Linked DNA regions of Lonchura striata. The protein of the gene in region 1 interacts with the protein of each later gene in a pairwise test. Links are inferred from orthologs where the notes say so. Each region holds a gene or a part of one and is shown in the gene's direction. Other genes may lie near its edges.

Region 1 (7,080 bases):
AGGGGACCCACCCTGGGTGCACCCACACAGCCAAATTCCTTGAATGTGAACTCATGGAGTGAATTCCTGAGTGTTCCTACTGATTGAAAAAACAAAAATCCACCAGCGGAGCCACTCACAAATTGAGATTTTAAATCAATCCTAACATGGAGCCTCCTGGAAAATCTCAAAGGACCGGGAAAGGGACAAAAAGGAACTGTAGGACACTGCTGGCTTTCAGACTAACCCTGCATTTGCTGCCTTTTTTAATATCAGGGTTTTTTTCTTTATCAAGCAATAGATTTCTGTATGCAGGCTAAGGAGCAAGGCTTTCAGGAGTGCAGGAGGTGCCTTTGCCACGCTCAGCTTTAGCCAGCGGGAAGGTGAAGCCTCATGGCAAACGCAGCAGCAATTCCTGCCTGTTTGTGCCCGCTTGGAATGCAGCTGGGATGGAAACCACACCACGTTTCTAACCCAATAAATACTCACATGAACATCTCTTGAGTCGCTTTCTGAATTTTATTCCACTGGAAAATAAATTTTTTTTTTTGCGGGGGGGAACACCCTATGCTGCTCTGTCATCCTTAAAAATCTGAGTTGGTGTATTGTAAACGCAGGCGAGCCCAATGGGGAGAAATGAGGATGTCTGACTCAATTCAGAAGGCTGAATTATTTTATTATAACTATGCTAAAATACATTAATATACTCTATTAAAGGAGGATACTAAAACTACAAACTACTTTCTCTGACTCTCACTCAACTTGTGACCCACTCTGAGAGTCCAGCTCCAGGTGGGTTGGATTGAGTTGGATTGGGTTGGGTTGTGTTGGATTGGATTGGGTTGGATTGGGTTGAGTTGGATTGGATTGGCCATCAGGCTCAAACAATCCTCACCAGAATCCAACCAAGCATCACCCCAGGTAAACAATTCTCCAACCACATTCCACATGGGAAAAACAAGGAGCAGAAACAGAAATTGTTTTCTCTTTCATTTCTCTCTGTGCTCCTCTATGAAAATCCAGAGAGGGAGAGAAACGTGCTGCCACAGGGGTGTGGGCTGTGACTCCAGGGGCACTGGGCAGTATTTTCATCCCAAAGGGAGCTGATTCTGGAAGGTGATGCCCTGGATCAGTTCAGGGCTTCACTAAAAATTGGGAATAGCTTTCTGTCCCTGAAAACCTGGAATCAGTAGGTCAGAGCCAGCCACGGGGGATGTTTTGTTCCCATTGCCGGGCATCATGAAATCCCAAGTTTTCCACGATTTCCCGTAAAAAAACAAACAAAAAAAAGCAAAAAAGGTGAATTTCCCTCGGGAAAGTTGGGGTCTGTTGATCCCCCAGGGATCAGCCCCAGCGCAGCTTGGAGCTGCTGGTGGTTTGGGTGTGGAACAGAGCAGCCTTGGCAGGGAGGGAGGGGATGGAAGGGATGAAAAGGGGACAGAGGTGGTGGAGGTATGAGGAGATGGGATGGATGGAGATGATGGAGGGGATGGAGAAGATTGAGGGATGGTGTGATGGAAATATGGAGGGGATGGAGATGATGGAAGGGCTGGAAATGATAAAAGGGATGGTGTGAAGGAGGGATGGAGATGATGGAGGGATGGTGTGATGGACATATGGAGGGGATGCAGATGATGGAAAGTATGGGGATGATGATGATAGAGGGGATGGTGTGATGGAGATGATGGAGGGATGGAGATGATGGAGATGATAGAGGGGATGGTGTGATGGAGATGATGGAAGGGCAGGAAATGGAGGGATGGTGTGATGGAGATTATGGAGGCATAGAGATGATGGAAGAGATGCTGTGATGGAGACGATGGAAGGGATGGAGATGATGAAGATGATGAAGATGATGGGGGGATGGTGATATGGAGATGATGGAACAGCTGGAAATGATGGAAGGAGGGATGGAGATGATGGAAAGGATAGAGATGATGAAGGGATGGTGTGATGGGGATGATGGAGGGATGGTGTGATGGAGGGATGGAGATGATGGAAGGTATGGAGATGATGTAGATGATGGGGTGATGGTGTGATGGAGATGCTAGAAGGGCTGGAAATGGAGGGATGGAGATGATGGAAGAGATGCTGTGATAGAGGGGTGGAGATGATGGAAGAGATGGTGTGATGGAGGGATGGAGGGATGGAGATAATGAAGAAGATGGAAGGGCCAGAAATGGAGGAATGGTGTAATGGAGGGATGGAGGTGATGGAAGGGATGGCGACTATGGAAGGGATGGAGATGACGAAGATCATGGGCGGATGGTGATATGGAGATGATGGAACGGTGGGAGATGATGGGGGGATGAAGATGATGAAGATGATAAAGGGATGGAGATGATGAAGATGATGGAAGGATGGAGATGATGGAGGGATGGAGATGATGAAGATGATGAAGGGATGGAGATGATGAAGACGATGGAGGGATGAAGATGATGGAGACGATGGAGGGATGGATATGATGGAGACGATGGAGGGATGGAGATGATGCAGATGATGGGGGGGTGGAGATGATGAAGATGATGGAGGGATGGAGATGATAAAGATGATGGGGGGATGGAGATGATGAAGATGATGGGGGGATGGTGTGATGGAGATGATGGAGGGATGGAGATGATGGAAGGGATGGAGATTAAGATGATGGGGGGATGGAGATGATGAAGATGGAGGGATGAAGATGATGAAGATGGAGGGATGGACATGATGAAGATGATGAAGGGATGGAGATGATGAAGATGGAGGGATGGAGATGATGAAGATGATGAAGGGATGGAGATGATGATGATGAAGGGATGGAGATGATGGAGATGATGAAGGGATGGAGATGATGAAGATGATGGGGGGATGAAGATGATGAAGATGGAGGGATGAAGATGATGAAGATGGAGGGATGGAGATGATGAAGATGATGGGGGGATGGAGATGATGAAGATGATGGGGGGATGGTGTGATGGAGATGATGGAGGGATGGAGATGATGGAAGGGATGGAGATGATGAAGATGATGGGGGGATGGAGATGATGAAGATGATGGGGGGATGGAGATGATGAAGATGGAGGGATGAAGATGATGAAGATGGAGGGATGGAGATGATGAAGATGATGGGGGGATGGAGATGATGAAGATGATGGGGGGATGGTGTGATGGAGATGATGGAGGGATGGAGATGATGGAAGGGATGGAGATGATGAAGATGATGGGGGGATGGAGATGATGAAGATGATGGGGGGATGGAGATGATGAAGATGGAGGGATGAAGATGATGAAGATGGAGGGATGGAGATGATGAAGATGATGGGGGATGATGCGATGGAGATGTTGGAAAGGCTGGAAATGCTGGAAGGGATGGTGGGAAGGAGGGGATTGAGGGACACAGGTGACAGGTGTGTCACACGGGAGTGACACAGGTATGACACAGGTGTGTGACAGGTGTGTGACACGTGCGTGACCCACGAGTGTGACAAAGGTGCCTGACACAGCTGTGACACTGGGAGGTGACCCAGGGGTGACACCGGTGTCTGATAGGTGTGACAGCAGGGTGTGACACAGGGGTGTGACACACTGGTGACAGAGGAGTGTGACACGGAGGTGACACACCTGAGACACAGGTGTCACATGGGTGTCACACGAGTGTCACACACAGGTGTCACACACAGATGTCACTCGGGTGTCACACTCAGGTGTCACACACAGGTGTCACTCAGGTGTCACACACGTATCACACAGGTGTCACTCAGGTATCACACAGGTGTCACACAGGTGTCACACAGGCGTCACACACAGGTGTCACACACAGGTGTCACACAGGTGTCACACACAGGTTTCACTCAGGTGTCACACACAGGTGTCACACACAGGTGTCACACAGGTGTCACTCAGGTGTCACACACAGGTGTCACACACAGGTTTCACTCAGGTGTCACACAGGTGTCACACGTTGTCACACAGGTGTCACGCAGGTGTCACACACGTGTCGCAGCCCCTGCGCGGTCTCTCACTGCGCATGCGCACACCTCGCAGTCTCTATGGTGTTTCCGGTGCCGGAGCGCCGCGCGCGGGGCGTGGCCGGAAGTGACGTCAGGCGCAGCCGCTGAGGGGAGCGGTCGGGGCAGCGGCAGCGGCGGCGGCTGCGGGGCCGTGCGGGTGAGTTTGGGCCCGGCTCCGGGATTGCGGCTTCCCGCGTGCTCCCCGCGGTACCCGCCCGCCGCGGGGCCTGCCCGGCGTCGCGGCTCTCCTCCGCACGCCCTGCCCGCCCTTCGCCCGCGGTGGGCCCGGGGCAGGCCCGGCCGGGAGCTGTGCTCGGCTCTGGTCCCGCAGGGGTTAATCACGGCTGAAGCGCCGCGCTCCGCTGTGGGGTGCTGTGGGTGTTTTTGGGGGGACCTGGTCAGCTCGGGGGGGCTCTGTGTGTGCCCATGGAGGTGCCCTGTGTTTGTCTCTGGGGACGTCTGTTTGCTTTTGGGGGGTCTTCTGTTTTGGGGTGTGCTGTGGGTACATGGCGGGCCCTGTGTTCATTCCGTGGGGGTTCTCTGTGTTTATTTTTGGGGGTCCTGGTGTTTATCTATGGGGGTTCCTTGTGTTTATCCGTTGGGCGTTCCCTTTCTTTATTTTGGGGGTTCCCTATGTTTATCCATTGGGGGTTCCCTATGTTTATCCATTGGGGGTTCCCTGTGTTTATCCATTGGGGGTCCCTGTGTTTATTTTTGGGGTTCCCTGTGTTTATCCATTGGAGGTTCCCTGTGTTTATCCATTGGGGGTCCCTGTGTTTATCCATTGGAGGTCCCTGTGTTTATCCATTGGGGGTTCCCTGTGTTTATCCATTGGAGGTTCCCTGTGTTTATCCATTGGGGGTTCCCTGTATTTATCCATTGGGGGTTCCCTGGGTTTATCCATTGGGGGTCCCTGTGTTTATTTTGGGGGTTCCCTGTGTTTATTTGTGGGGTTCCCTGTGTTTATCCATGGGAGGGTTCCCTGTGTTTATCCAGTGGGGGTTCCCTGTGTTTATCCATGGGAGGGTTCCCTGTGTTTATCCATTGGGTGTCCCTGTGTTTATCCATTGGGGGTTCCCTGTGTTTATCCATTGGAGGTCCCTTTGTTTATTTTTGGGGGTTTCTTTGTTTATCCTTGGGGGGTTTCCCTGTATTTATTTTTGGGGGTTCTCTGTTTATCCATCACAGGCTTCCCTGTGTTTATTTTTGGGGGGGGTCCATGTGTTTATCCTTGGTGGGGGGGGTGTCTGTTTCTTTTTGGCAGTTCCCTTTGTTTATTTTTGGGGCATTCCCTATGTTTATCCATGGGAGGGGTCTCTGTTTATTTTTGTGGGTTCCCTGTGATTATCCATGGAAAGTGTCTGTGGTTATTTTTGGGGTTCCCTTTGTTTATCCATGGGGGGATTCCTTTGTTTCTCCCTGGGGAGGTTCCCTGTGTTTATTTTTGTGTGTGTGTGTGGGGGGGGTCCCCTGTGTTTGTTTTTGTGGTTCCCTGTGTTTATCCATGGGGGTGGGGTCTGTGTTTATCCATTGGGGGGATGTCTGTGTTTATTTTTTGGGGGTTTAATGTGTTTATCCATGGCAAGGGGTCTGTGTTTATTTTTGGGGGTTCCCTGTAACTATCCATGGATAGTGTCTGTGTTTATTTTTGGGAGAGTTCCCCGTGGTTATTTTTGGGGTTCCCTGTGTTTATCCATGGGGGGATTCCTTTCGTGGTTATTTTTGGGGTTCCCTGTGTTTATCCATGGGGGGATTCCTTTCTTTATCCCTGGGGGGGTTCCCTGTGTTTATTTTTGGGGGTTCCCTGTGTTTATTTTTGGGGGTTCCCTGTGTTTATTTTTGGGGGTTCCCTGTGTTTATCCACGCAGGGGATTCCCTGTGTTTATGCATGCTGGGGGTCCCTGTATTTATTTTTGGGGTTCTCTATGTTTATTTTTGGGGTTTCTCTGTGTTTATCCATGGCGTATCCCCATTTTCATTTTGGGGGTTCCCCTTTTTACCTTATGGGGCTGCTATTTTTGCCTATGGGGCTGGCTGAATTTACCTGTGGTAGCTCCACATGTTTTTAAATATTTACAATATTTATGTTATTTACAATATTTGGGATCCCTGTGTTTACCCATGGGGCTCCCTATATTTTCCTACAGCGACACAGCCACCCCTCTATTCCAACTCCAGGGTAGTTAAACTTATATTTGCACTCAAACATAGATTTACTTTTGGGTTTTCTGTGCTAAAAGGAGGCTCCTGTTTTTCAGAAGTGTCTGTGTAAGGTGCTGCTGTGTGCCGAGCTCCTTCCTGTGTTTCCTAAGGGAGATGAGAAGAAAGCAGGAAATGGAAGGAAGCTTTGGTTTCCCTGTGGTCCCCAAGGCTGTGTTATCTGTGTTTTGGGAGTGTTTTTATCAGCCACCTCCTTGGAATGCAGACATTGTCACCGTGGGTTAACATAAACACACAGCCACAGGAAGGACAGGAGCTGCTCCTCAGGAATTGATGGCTTTGTCACCAAATTTCACATTTTCTTCCCTTTGAAGCATCCCCTCTTTTCAGCCTCTGAAAGTTGGGGGAAGTGAGATTTTTTTTTTCCCCCCTAATCCAAGTTGTTTTTTTTTTTTCCCTTGTTTTTTTTTCAATGAGGCTCAGCTTGCAGAGAATCCAGCTGCCTCTTCCAGAAATGTGATTTATACATGGAAGTTGCTCTCCCTGGGCTGTCTGCCGTGTTTCTTTGTGCTGTTCACAGTAAATATCAAACATTCTCCCTCTTTGATTACAGCATGAAAGGCAAATCTCCACATTTAGGAGCTTGTCATGTCTCCTGTTCTCCGTGATGCTCGTGAGCCTGTCACTGGGAAATCTGGGATCAAAGGAGCTCTTTAGCTGCTTCCAGCACTGTTGGAAACATCTGTCTAAACAAATTGGAGTTTTTCTCCCCTGGTTTTGACAGAACTTCAGTGCAAGGAGAAAAACTATTTTAAAATTCATTTATCTAATCGTGGCACTGATGCTGCCTTTGCTGCTTTTATCCTGCATTCCAGTTTTTGGGGATTTTTTTCACCCTTTTGTGTTTCTCTGTTGGTTGGGGTTCCCCTCCTGCCCTGTATCTCTGTTCCCC
Region 2 (6,963 bases), on another chromosome or scaffold:
AATTCACATTTCAGTATTGCAACAGCTGGGAAACTCAGAAACTATGCAAAATAGTTCTGTGTTAGATCTGTTTTATACAGAGCATGGAAACAGGAAAAAATCCCCTACCTAAAGCTGGGTAAATCACTAGTCCCATAACAATCTTCCTAAAGCTTGTCACTTCCATGTGATGATCCTGCCAAACCTGCAGTCCCTTTACACACCATTCCATCCCACCAAATTTAATTGTTTGGATTAACACTGCTGCCCTTCTACTGTTAATATGTAGCAATTTGGAAAACTTTCCTCTGAAAGAGGAAGAAGATTTTGCACAACTGAAAGCAAGGATTTGTCACCATGAATATGCAGTAAGGTACCTGTGGCTGCAGCATTAGTGCAGAGAGAGCACAGTGCAAGCTGGAGCTCCTAGAAAAGGCTGCTGATCCACATGGTCCTCCAAAGGGCAGAATAACTGCCAGGGAAGGTAACTATAGAACCTGAGCAGTTTATACCATATTTATACAAATGAGGAAAATGCTCAAGTAATGCCACCTGTGAAATAAAAAGGTTTTTCAAATAAAATGTCAGCACTTCAAAAATTCTAGCATCCCCTTCCCCTTGGGTTTTTTTTTAAGCAATAAAATGCAAAATAAAAGTTCATTAAGTTATTAAGGAAGTTATGACCAGGACCTTTTGTCCTATCTAGAACTAAGCCCAAATAAACAGTTTGTAGAATTACAGCCATTATCCTGAAATTTAGGGTTTAGATAACAATGCAATTATCAATCAATAGCCCAGAAATTGCCTCCCATTACAAAACAAGGAAAACATCTGCAAACAAACCAACAGAAGTGTGTCATTTGCAAAACAGTTCATGAAACCAGGAATTTCTGGCAATTGTTTTGAATAGAAAACTGTAAAGAAAAAATACAAGCTCTGTGAGTCACTCAGATTTGCAAGACTCCCTGGACCCTAATTCAGCCAGGAGTAATAACAGGAAATGCACTGACTGGGAGCACTGGCTGCACTTCTCCCTCATCTGAACAGCAGCAATAATCTTTTGCTGAGGATATTCAGCCAACAAGGGAAAAAGAAAAGGACTGAAGAACTTTTCTGTAGGAAGTTTAAAGGAGTAACTGCAGCCCAAATAAGCTTTGGGAACACATGAGTAATCTACTGTGCAAAAAGAGGGGCCAGAAAAAGAGTTTGTATAACAGAACTGCCAACAGCAGAGCAACAGAGACTCAGCCATGGTGTCAAAAGCAAACAAAAAAGAGGGTCTTTATTACTTCATCTGCCTTAATATTAACACAGATTAAGTAGGGTAATAAATTAATATATCCTCTTCTAAAAAACCTCAGCAGTATAAGTGAACTATAAAACACAATGCTCCCTTCACTTGTTGAAACACAAATGGAATCTGTCCCACTCACAGAGAAAACATGAAAAGAACACTGTGACAGCACATTTCTCCCTCTCTCAGGATTTTTCATAGACGTGCACAGAGAGAAATGAAAGAGAAAACAATTTCTATTTCTGCTCCTTGTTTTTCCCATGTGGAATGTGTTTGGAGAATTGTTCACCTGGAATGAATGCTTGGTTGGATTCTGGTGAGGATTGTTTGAGCCTGATGGCCAATCCAACCCACCTGGGGCTGGACTTGAGAGAGAGGGTCACGAACTGAGTTAGAGAAAGTAGTATGTAGTTTTAGTATCTTCATTTATATAGTATATTAATGTATTTTAGCATAGTTATAGTAAAGAAATCATTCAGCCTTCTGAATTGAGTCAGACATCATCATTTCTTCCCATTGGGTTTGCCTGCATTTACAACCGTGTGGGCACCGTGTGCATCATCCCGCTTGTGCCTGGCTCCGTGCAAGGATCAGGAGCAGGGAGTGAGAGAGGAACATTTCCCCAGCACAGCTCTGGGGAGGCTTGAGGAGATTTGCACCACACAGCACTCCCAGCACACGCCTGAGTAGCTACAACTCCCCAGTGTACCCCCAGACTCTGCCTGTACACACACTTTGCTGTGCTGCAAGGTTGAGGAGGCAGAGGACAGGCCATGCATCACTTCCAATCCAAAATATTTTATTCCAACGCAGCAACGGTGAAGACAGGGAGAATAAATTCACTGAAATGCAGCACTGGAATGAGCAGATGAAGGAGGAAAACAATCCAGAAGCAGAAACCACTGCTTCCCTTCCTTGCTGCTCCTTGTGATTCACTTTTAATGCAAGATGAAGCCAAGGAGTTTTTCACAACTGAGATCTCAAACAGCACAAAATTTCCTTTGCCAATAAGTTTTTAAATTTGAAAGATAGCTTTTCTTTACAGTAATCTTGCAGAAGGGGGCAGATTGATGCAGACGTTTAAGATACCATTTGGAACCAGTTTTTTAAAAAAGTTTTTGTCATTTTCCTTCTATTTGAGTTCTTAGAATGTGGTTGCTGTATAAAATAGATTTCAAAGTTTAATTTCTTCTTAGCATCTTTCTCTAATATAAACTGTTAGTGAATAATGAGAAATTTTACATCAAAGTATTGCCTTTAAGAGCAAACACTACAGAACTAGGGAAAACCCAAATTTTATGGATTAGGCTCTTCTATGGTGAAACCATTAGAAAGACATGGACAATTTATGGAGCTCCAAGACATTCCATATGACTTTTGTTGAGTTTTTTACTGATGTTTATGCCCTGGGGTTCAAGGGTGAGTTAGTGGGATGAAGTTTTCTGTCTAGATTACTTTTTCCCTAATAAATGCATTTTCACTTTACACTGTAACTGTTTGACACCAAAATAGGCACATTATTGTTTTGTCCCAAAAGCTTTACAGTTTAAAAAAATTACACTAGAACTTGGTATTTCCACTTCTTATCAGATAGACTTTTGTGGAACCACACAACTGCTGGATCCTTGTTTATGGTTAATGCAATGCAATAAATGTCAGCCATCATAGGAGAGGACTATCCTGTAAAGCTCTATTAAAAGTTTGTATCAGAAGTTTGTCCACCTGCAACAAAAAAACTTGACTTGTGGTAATACAGAGCATAGCACATATTCTTGAAATACTCAGGGTCAGGAGCCTGCCACAGACAAGATTTTGTTTAGAAATATACAAACCTGTTTATTCCATGTCAGATTGCAAAAAATGCTACAAAGGTACTTGAACCTAAGTGATCTTATCTTGGACATAATTTATGCCTTGGTCCTGATGAATATACTACACTTTCCTGTTCCTAAAATCACCAGTAATTGAAAAAGCTGCAGGAAAAAAATCTCAGTACACTGCATATTACTTTGTTCTTGTTTCAGCAAATGTAGATATGTACTACACAGCACTCCACTTTACATAGGGCAGTTTAGCGCCCTATGCACCTTCACTTTACCTGAGAAACGTATGTGTGGATGTTTACTACACCTGACAGAAATACTTAATCCCCAAATTCTTCTAAAATATTGAGAATTCCATATCCCACTGCAGACCGTGAAATACTGATATACCAGAAAATGACGGACACGGGAGCAAAGAGCATCCACCCTCCTGAGCCTGTGAGCCAGCTCATCGCGCTTCACAGGGCAGCCTGCAGTAAGCTCCGGAGCCTGCGGATCACTAATGGGGTAAATAAATAAAAACAAGATGCGAGGGCCAGCCCGCAGCCCTGCCCAAGGCCCACGGCCCTGCGAGCGCTCAGTGCCCGGCGCTGCGAGCGGGGAGCGGCGCCCGGGAACGGGCCGCGGGCCCGAGGTGAGAACAGGGCCCGGGCAGGGGCCGCGGTCCCGCGGTGAGGAGAGGAGCCCGGGAAGGGGCCGGGAAGGGGCCGCGGGCCCGAGGTGAGAACAGGCCCCGGGAAGGGCCCGGCGGGGCGGGGCGTGGGCCCAGGCCGGCGGGCGGAACCTCAGGCGCGGGCCGCGCGCTCCGGCCGGCGGCGGGGCCGGGCACGCCGCTGCACCGGCGCGGCTGTCGCCGTTCCGCGGGCGGGGCTGCCCGGATCCAAGATGGAGGCGGCGGGCAGAGCGGGGCAGGAGATGAGCCTGGCGGCCCTGCGGCGGCACGACCCCTTCATCACCGGCATCGCCGACGTGACCGGCCAGGTCGCGCTCTACAGCTTCAGCCCCAAGGACAACGAGTGGGTGAGTCCGGCGGGGCGGGCCCGGCCGTGCCCGCGCCCCGGCAGCCGCCGGGCCCGGCGCGCCCGCGCGGGGCCGAACCCAGGGGAGTTCGGGGTTTGGGCGCGTTCCCCCCTCCTGTAATGGGGGAGAGGAGCGAGAGGGAGACGGAGAGAGCAGGCGAGAGGGAGAGGAAGAGGAGGAGAAGGAGGAAGAGGGAGAGGCGAGGCCGTGCGTGCGCTCGGGGAGGCGGCGCCGCTCCCCCTCGGGCCGGGGCAGCGCCGGGGCTGGAGCGCGCCTTGGCTGCTGCTGGCCATTGACTTTTCTCGTTTTTAAAGGTACTTTGTTGTTGTTGCTCGCGCCTGTTGCACAGAGCCCTAATTCGGGAAGAGAGGAATTTAAGATTGCATTAAAGCACAGTTTTGGCTTGACCGCCGGGTTCATCGCAGAGCCATAAAAATGGGAATATGGGGAACTGCCCGTGCAGCCCTGGAGCTGGAGCAGCTTTCCTCGACACGCCCGTGCTGAGGGTTGCTCTGGGAGCTGGAGTCTGCCACAGAGCCATGCCCACGGTGCTACCGTGCTGTGCTGTTGTGGCTGTCCTTGGAGTAGAACTGGAACACAACCTCTCGGATATTTGGAGTCTGCTCAGCAGGGGAAGGTTGTGGAACAATGTGTGTGTATCACGTCGGCAAATAGAGAGAGTGAGCAAAGTGTTTTGGAAGTAGGTTTAACGTCCTAATTCTTCTAATTAAAAAATTTGGAAAGTTATGAAAATAAGGGAGCATAATTTTTGTCCTGTGATGTCAAACCTTATGGAAAGATATGGATATTGTAAGTCTGTAATTAAAACACTGTACAAAACCTACCTGTGTGAACAAGCACATCCCTGAAGTGCTTTTGTTATCTTTTGTAGGAAAAAACTGACATAGAAGGGACCTTATTTGTGTATAAAAGGTAAGGTTACTTTGGGTTGGTTTTTTGGGGGAGGGGGTATAGAGTAGTGGCGATATTTGTTTTCTTTCCTTAAGAAAACAAGCTCCAGATGGCTTCCTACAGAGCTTTCATACTCATCATTTTTTGCTTGTCCAGCTGTTAACTGCTGTGTAGTCATTCAAGAAGAATAAATTCTGCACATGGGTGAATAACTCTGTTAAAAGCCCCTAAAAGTATTGCTAAGAAAGTGTAAAACTTGAATGCTACATATGTACCCACATCAAAAACTAGTTTATTGAGCTTATTTTATTAATCCAATAGCATTTGTTAGTGCATTGAGTTTGTTTAATGCCAAGTCTCCCTCTGTCTCCTAACATCCATGAAGCTGATTATGAAAACGATAGACATGAGAAATTAAATAATGTGTTTTAAATTACTAATGGAATATATAATAAATTTTTGTAAATGGATGGAGTTGCCCAAAAGCTGGAGATCTTGTAATGTCTGGTTTTGGGAGTTGTCTGATTTCCTCTCAAAATCATGGAAGAAATTTCCAGCTCTCTAGGACAGGTAAAAGGACTGAGGAGAACCAACACATAATATCAATCATAAGTTCAAGTCTTAAATTATAGGCAAATTAAAAAATCTAAATTAAATAACACTTTGTTGAAGGTAAGAAATAGAAATAATGCAGACTTAAGCCATCCTGAGGCAGACTGTCATAGTTTGGTTGTTACAATATTTTATCTCAGTACTGTGTAGGGATTTGAGTCACAGTTCCTTTACTTCAGCTCCCAGCTTGGAAATACGCAGTGTAAGAAAGTATTAACCAAACTTAAAAAAAAATAAAATCAAAAACCAAAGCAAAAGCTTTGTGTCACTAGCTGATGATTTCAAACAAGTTCTGCGAGGTGCATTAAGGGACTCACTTGTGATGGTAATGGTTGTTTACCCTGTCCTTGGAAACTCTTGAGAGATTTTTGGTGTCAATCATTAGGTAAAGGTGGCCACGCTGTTACAGAAATCTTTACATTTACCAGCTTATTGTGTCTGATTTTTAGCCTACCTTCGTTGTTGTTGATTATACAACATTTTACAGGCACAGTTCAGTGCTGACAGGACATTCATGCAGCAAGAAAAAACAGATCTAAAACTATCTTGAACTTTCAATGCTTGCTCAGTGTTTTCTTTTTTTACTTGGTGTTCAGAAAAAATCTAGATAAATAAAAATTGTTTCACTGAGCAATACAATTCTGAATAATTTACTTTCAGGATACTGGCTTAAGTCTTTATTTGCAGAGTCTCCCTTTAGGAATAAATTACTGTTTATGGTTCCCCCTGTAAGTGTACTTCATGCTATTTAAAAGATAGCAGTTCTTTTTTTTATTGTCATGTCTATTTACAATAAGGTAATGATGCTGTGTAAATGGTTTGGTTTTTGTCCTCTAATTAAAAAATTCTGAAATGCCTCAAAACAATCTTATATCAAGTATTGAATAAATTTGCATTTTAATAGTGGACCTGCCCTAGTTTTTTTTAATAGATTTTTCCGAGGCATATCTTTGATTCAGCAGTGTAACAGTGTAGAATTGTAATGTTAATCCTAATCCTGCTTTGAGGTAAATGCAGTTTAGTTTGAAATTGAAATTAGGTGGTGTGCCAAGAAATGGCATAGAAAAACAACTGTGAGAGCTGCAGGACTGCTAAAACTTCATGTAAGAAAGCAATGGAAATGTGAAGATAAATTCATAACTTGGTATCAGAAAATTATTTTCGTTAATGAAGATATTAATCCTTGGTTTTGTTTTCCTTGACACAATAGGTCAGCTTCTCCTTACCATGGTTTTACAATAGTGAATCGACTGAATATGCACAACCTGGTTGAGCCAGTAAATAAAGATTTGGAGTTTCAGCTCCATGAACCTTTTCTTCTCT
Region 3 (7,323 bases), on another chromosome or scaffold:
TTTCAGTCAAAGTGCTTTTGCTTCTGCTGTTCCTATAAAGCTACACCCACTACTACCTCTCATTACTCACTGTCTTCTTCAATAGTCCATCACCTCATGTGGTCAGCCTTCTGCCAAAGGCTATATCCCAAATAGGAACTGGCAGCCACCTTCCCAAGGCACAGCATAACAGCACCATAGGCCTCACAGTTCCTTTAACAAAAGGAAATCTTGAAAACAGAAAAGAAAGCCTTACAAATGCTCTAAAAAGGAGATATGATCAAATGAAATGCAATTAAAAAAAAAAAAAGGAAAATTTGGCAATTTAGTGACAATAAGGAAATGGACTAGTATGAAATGAGGTGCAGTGAAAAGGACAAAAACATGCCAAAAGTAACCTCACAGATGTTGCAATATCAGGGCAGAAAAACAGACATGAAGACAGAAGACTGAGGGGAAGATATGAATGAAATGGCATGGATAGTGAAAAAAATAAAAATCTTCACCAAAGGGAAAACCATCAAAAGGTATGGGAGGCCATGAAGTGCAACGATATGGACCAAAGCATGCCAAATTCATCCTCATTGAAATCACAAGATTTCATTCCTGAAAGGAAGAATTTTCTTTCAGGAAAGGAAATGAAATCTTGAAAACAGAAAACAAAGCCTTACAAACTCTGGAAAGAAATTAAATGCAATTGAAAATAAAAAGAAAATTTGGAAATTTAGTGGCTACAATCAAATGGACTGGGATGAAACAAGTTTTGCAGTGGAAAAAGACCAAAGCATGCCAAAACTAACCTCACAGATGCTGCGAAATCAGGGGAAAAAACTAAATATGATAATAGAACATAGAAGGGAAGATATTAATGAGATGACATGAATACTTGAAAAACAAAATTTAAAAATATTTGTCAAAATTAAAATCATCAAAAGGCATGGGATGCCATGAAGTGAAGGGATATGGACCAAAGCTTACCAAATTGATCCTCATTGAAATCACAAGATTTCATTTCCTTTTCTGAAAGCATCTCAAATTGCCTCCTGCGTACACATATTGTGCTTAGAGCTCTTCTCAGAAAGAAGAACTTGGCCCTTGCAGCCCTAAGGGGAATTGACAGGTTCCTTAAGTAATATAACTAAAGACTTAGGAGTTGCAAGAGTTAAATTTTAAGTCATAAGTCCTACACAGATTCACTGCATTAAGGTATTTGACATCAAACACTTCATTTAATCATGGTGAATAACATGCTCCACACATTCTACACAAGCTCCCAGAGACATTTTTTTAAATGCCCAAGGCTGTTAGTGCTACACTAGAGTTAGAGATTACCTTTCCACCCCTTCTTCTTAACCTCTGTACCACGCTTAGACTTTCTGTGGTCTGGTAAGAGCTAGAAATTATACCAGTTCCAGTTGTATTCAGATTTTCATTTCACCACAAACTACATACTCAGCAGCACAAAGTCCCATAATTTACTGCTTGCAGCTGCAGTAATACTAAACAAACATTTCAATTATTTGACTACTCCAGAGCAATACCTGAAGATTATTATACCAATAATGTGAATTTTGTTTTTAATTTATATGCAACTGATATACTGGAAGCTAATTTTCAGGGAAAACAAATAGAATAATTTCCTATTTAATAATATTTATTTCTCACTTTAAATATATCATATTTTTTAGATGGATCCCTAATAAAAGTTGATTTTATTTCATTATTTTTACTCAAGGTATCCATTAAAACAACATGGAAATTGTCAGTTGCAATGTTTACGCCTAAGCATATTAATGAGAAGAACTTTAGCACACATTAAAAATTCCATTGGTTGTAGGGACTTGAAGAAGAGGAACCAGCCCCTTCTTGCTTCAACAGAAAATTAAGACTGTCCAAAAAAGAACAGGTAACAAAATGAGGAGAAGAATAACTAAGAAAAGAAACAGGAAAAAGAGGAAGGAAAGCAAGCAAGTACCCAGAACAGTAACAAAAATTTTACCTGGCAACAGTGAGAGAATTGCAGAGATTAAATAGAGGTGAAACAGAAAAAAATAGGCCTTAATCTGTCCAGTTCATTGTGAACTCAAAACGTTTTCCCCTTTCCCTTTCAAGATATTTTATTTTCTCCAACTCTTAAGGTCTCCTGTGCTGTTCTTTAGTCTAAAAAACCCAAGTGTTTTCTGTCTTTCCACATAATTAATTATTGCTACTCTCTTCTGCAGTATTTCCAAGTAGTCTTTTTTTTCTTTTTTTTCCCAAAAGTGAGATTGCCAAAACCCCTGGGAACACAGCTTCTTTGGCTCTCCCCTAAAACAGGATAAGCTCCTCCCTTAGAAATAACTCACACCTATGACCTACTGAGTCTTGAAGAAAATGTGAAGGTGCGGCTCACTCTAAACACTAGATCCATTTTGCTCAGCATTACATGGACAAATATGTTATTCATTTCCTTGTTGGTAAGCCCTGCCTCCCACCTTGGGAGAGAGAAGGCAGGAAAGCACAGCCAAAGGACATTCTAAGGGATAAGGAGATTGAAACCTTTCTCCCATTTTCTCTAGACTCTCTCACAGTTTTTTTCTGAAAGCTTCATTAATTGATTACTGAAATAAAGTCTATTTTTAAGTGCTTTCACCACATTATATGCCAGGTTTGAATATTTCATAGAACAAAAGGTTTTGACTATTTATTTACACCCTATTGTTCTTAAAGATTTGGGCACATGCAGACTGAAATGTAATCCTGTAAACTCAATCTGTTTTCTGTTGTACTGAAGATTAACTGTATTGCATTTTAATCACAGCAAGAAAACAGACAAAATTAAGAGTCTGTAAAAAAGATGGGCTTAATATTCTTTTATTCTGTTTTAAAATATGTATCATCAGGAGATTGAATCCTACTCTGGGCACCATCTTCAGCACCTTTAACCAGCCAGACCAGATTCTTTATGGATAATTTTTCTTACTTCTATAGTGGAACTGCATTCCCCAGCCACCCTCAAAGGGCACTCAAGATACAGAGATAAAGTACGTACTTGGTACAATTACAATAAGTAAAATATCTACCACAGTCCCAACGAAAAAAAAAAGAGAAAGTAAAGGCATACCACTGTCAAGCCTGTTTTATGTGTTTCTTTGTGAAAATCTCCCAGCTGTTTCTAAGGACACCTTTACATATAACATGGGCTGACATGAAAAAGCTTATACTCAAATCAATACTGGTTTATCCAGAGAAAGCTTTAAATAATTAAAAGAGCTGCTAAGGTATTACAGCTACAAGAAAATGTATTTTTTTTATTCTTTCCTAAGTCTTTCTAAATTATAAGGAAAAAATCTCCATGCATGTTTTAATAAGTGCTCCCAAGTCTGTGACAGATACATTAAGGAAACCAAGAAAATTTGGAGTAATTTAATTCTGAGCTATTGTAACTGTACAACTACTGGAAAATATTACCCCTCTAAAATGGGCTCAATCAGGATAACAGTAGCCTATACCTTCCATTCAAGTTGCAGGAGAGGATACACAGAATGATTCTGCACCTCTATTTTTATGTTCCTCTATTTTATATTCCTTTTGTATGTGTGAAAAACCTTCATGTTTTATCAATGGTTTATTACAATAATAGTTATAAGCAGAAAAATATGGTACTAGCTATGAAAAATGAGATTACTGTCAGTTGGATAGTTAGGATTCTGTATAAGTCCTTGGATAGAGCAACAATACTGGATTTTTGATCAGCTCTTTGCAGGATTTTGCAAGTTCTAACTTGCATTAAAAGATCCTTATTTACAGAGTTCCACTAAGGCTACCTGATTATTTGGGTGATATATAAGGGCTATAAAGCATCTTTCTGTGCATGCCAGATACAAATATACAGATACTAGAGCAAGTGATGAGCTGTGCAATTTCAGCACAAGGATGAAAAAAAGGAACTAGACCAGATTCAATCTGAAAAGTAAATTATTAACACAAGCACTTTTGGTAGGTGAGTGTTTCATCCTGTGACTAGCTGAAGTCTGATTCCTAAAATCAACACAGCACAACAGAGGGTGTTGGGCTAGTGACTCTGTTTACTTACATTATAATCACACTTATTCAATGCATGGTTAATGACTAAGCACACAGTATATCTATAAAGCCCAAGGACACAAGGTACCAAGGTTTTGCTTCATTGTTACTTTGGAGCCTAATGTACTTGGTTTCAGTTTGATTGGATGGCTTCTCACAAATCCCCAAAACAGAACAAGGTTTTACTATAACTGTATTTACTTTTTTTAGTTAGGGAAGCTACTACTCCATCTCAACAGAACTTGAAGACTCATATCAAAATGTATTGTGGAGATTACGTAAGTATTTGTTCTCTGAAATCTTCCAAAATTGTCATTCCTCTTAAGTTGTCGTCATGTGTTGGTAGCCATTTCCCTTCACTGGTAGAAATTAATATAAGGTGAAGATAATTCATTTGTGATTTCAGTCTAACCTTGGTGTTACTTAGATATATCAAGTGTCTGAAACAAAGACTAAAATTTAAAGAATTATCAGTTCCTGTCTCATAATTCTAGACCTTTCAAGAAAAAGAAAAATCAACTTAAGCCCCCTTGTGAGATCCTATAGGTGTGTTTTCTATGTTGGCACTAAGTTGCTAAACAAGAAGCTAAATTACATACTATCACCGTATTAAAGATAAAAATATGAGTTTTTCAGAAGATAGCTATTTCTGGCACTACTCTGGGGGGGTTATAATTTGACAAGACCATCTCTAGCTGCATAAAGTAAATAGCTTCATCATTTATAAAAATTTGTTTTGTTCATAGTGTGAAAAATATTTTAAAGTTAAAAAATGCTATCTATACAAGAGCCACAACACAGGAAGAGTTATGGCTTCGCTAGTGCTTTTTGAGGAAAAAAAGGGTTATAATGAAATTTTAAATCTTCATTCTAGAAACTGTTGGAGTTACTATTTCATGACAACAAAATATGACATTTCTCTTGGTACCTGGCATACTGATCATGTTCTCTAAGGATTCTTTCAATTATTACTGATATGAATAATGATTTGATCCTTTCAAAGGCTTTTTACATGTACATTCCCAAACTTACAAACCAATATGGATTTTTCTAAAAATTAAATATTTTTCCCTTTCTTATTTTAATATAATGTATAATTGACTCATTATTTCAATCTTTGCAGTAAAGTATTTCTTCTAATAAAATTATATATATAAAGCATATAGTTGCTTTTCTAAAGTTATTGCTATTGAATCAGGATTAGTAATATGTTTGGTTTTCCACAAATTAGGATCTTGCATCCCTTACTAGACAGTTAAGAACTTAAGAGATTTTCTTCCTAGTTTCTTTTTTCCCCCCTCTTTTTGTTACAGTGATTTTGGAATCTATTCCTGATAATTTTAGGACAACATAAAGAATATTATACCTTAAAAAGGTAGTAGATCAGTTTCTGTTGGAGAAGACAAGAAATACAGTTTCTTTTATTCTACTGTTTTATTGCAACCAATTATATTTAAATAATTGACACCGCATCTGCATATAATATGTTGCCTAAAATTAATGGTAGTCCCTTATAAAATAACTTACAGAGGAAGTGATTTTAAAGTCATTACAATTGGCAATTATTATATTTGCAATAACAATGTAGCAGTTTGATAGCATTATAAAGACAAATTAATAGATAAGACAATTTCTAACTGTGGCAGATGTTTACAATGGTATGAGGCTTAATATAATGTAACTATTATATATTGGCCTAATGAACTGCTTGAGCAGAGCGGACAAGTTTCTAATTCTGATACACTGAATTACATCAAAATACTTCAGAATAAATGGTTTTAATATCAACTCTTTATACCCTCTTCTAAACATAAAAAGGCACACTGATAAACCCTTGTTTTTTTTCATCATCACAGACACAAGAGATCAGAGAAGCAACTGTAGACAGTGGGGAGTATATCAGACCCAGGAAAGACAGGAAAATCTGATTACAGGCTTTCTCTGAAATGCATTGGGGTGGATTCCCAGGTTAGGTAAATTTTTACTGTTTAATCCAATTTCCATGTGTTATGAAATGGAAAGGGAGAGAAATTATGAATTAAATCACTGGATCCTAGGAACATACTTCCCTACTGAGGCATCCAGACAGAATGGGGACATGTAAGGCAGAGCTGCATGCAAACATTCTCCACTGAATGCTGATGGTATTTCAAGAGCAAGTTGGTCATGGAGCAGTGGCAGATTTCTTTGAAGAGACTCAGCAACAAAATAGCAGAAAAATCACTTCAGCAAGTCTCAGTCAAGAAAACAGGACTTATACAAGACTAAGTGGTGGGACCATAGCATTAATTTCTTCTCTACTCTTCTTAAACACTGTTCTAGATTGCAAAAAAGTCCTGGAAGTACACTTTGGACTTAGATATTTTTCAAAGAATTTCAGAACATTGAGTATACCATTAATTCAGAAGCACAATAGAAAAATCTGAAGTATTACTTTCAAAATGTGCTTTGTTCTTTAAAATTATCTTTATATTTTATGCTACCCATATCAGAAATTGCATACATTTTCTGTGAACAATCAGATAGGATGGAGTCCTTCAAGAGCAAGAAGTAGATGTACAAACTGTTGACAGCAGCAGTCCTGCTGCTGCAGACAGCAGCAGCAAACCAGCTAACAAACCAGCATCATCAAAAAACACCCTATAGTAAATACCACAGGTAAAACTATAAGAAATTAGATTATATCTATGACCTTTCTGAAATACATAAACAGAGAGAGACAGAAGGCTTTGGAGAATGAATTTTCTATGTTTAGAAGTATCCCTTCCACTACTGTATCACATATTATTGAAAATAAATGAAACACACAAGAAACTCACAACAAACCGAAATACTCATGAAATTTTTATTTAATAATGTTGCACTCAAATGATATCTTTGCAAAAGTATAGCTAGCTCATAGCATGTGGTTAGCTAATAAAAAAAAACATTTTATTTTAGTAGACATTCCCTATGGGAAATATTCAGACTAAGGAGTCTGACTTCAATTGTTTGTTATCAGCAGAATGACTTGCTGAACAAATATTAGAAGGTTGTTTGTACTTCAGAATGCTTTTCCATCACAAGACTGAATTGCCTGAAGTTTGCACATCATAATTTAATAAAAGCAGCCTCACCTTTTACTGATACTTTTGTTGAACTCCTTATGACTTTGGTCAGAAAAAGCTGTTACTTTCTTGCTTTTACACAGAAGGTAAATTCCAAGTATCATTTTTCAGAACCATTATAAATTTCAGACCCTTTCCAGTCTTTAGTTGTTTTGATTCATTCCACCAACAC

The links. The genes of interacting proteins can lie anywhere in the genome.
Region 2: the proteins of EDC3 (region 1) and DCP1A interact in binary tests that used the Homo sapiens proteins (3 or more experiments, as listed by UniProt). The two-hybrid records come from large-scale screens. The link is inferred for Lonchura striata from reciprocal best matches to the Homo sapiens genes EDC3 and DCP1A.
Region 3: the proteins of EDC3 (region 1) and ANXA10 interact in binary tests that used the Homo sapiens proteins (3 or more experiments, as listed by UniProt). The link is inferred for Lonchura striata from reciprocal best matches to the Homo sapiens genes EDC3 and ANXA10.

What each region holds. Positions count from the first base shown.
Region 1 is NC_134613.1:5,971,862-5,978,941, forward strand, and holds the start of EDC3 (enhancer of mRNA-decapping protein 3), read left to right. Parts: upstream 1-4,052; 5' UTR 4,053-4,125; intron 4,126-7,080. UniProt on the Homo sapiens protein: Binds single-stranded RNA. Involved in the process of mRNA degradation and in the positive regulation of mRNA decapping. May play a role in spermiogenesis and oogenesis.
Region 2 is NC_134614.1:10,596,354-10,603,316, reverse strand, and holds the start of DCP1A (mRNA-decapping enzyme 1A), read left to right. Parts: upstream 1-3,944; 5' UTR 3,945-3,981; coding exon 3,982-4,116; intron 4,117-5,008; coding exon 5,009-5,049; intron 5,050-6,850; coding exon 6,851-6,963. UniProt on the Homo sapiens protein: Necessary for the degradation of mRNAs, both in normal mRNA turnover and in nonsense-mediated mRNA decay. Removes the 7-methyl guanine cap structure from mRNA molecules, yielding a 5'-phosphorylated mRNA fragment and 7m-GDP.
Region 3 is NC_134606.1:37,811,885-37,819,207, reverse strand, and holds the start of ANXA10 (annexin A10), read left to right. Parts: upstream 1-4,304; coding exon 4,305-4,322; intron 4,323-7,323.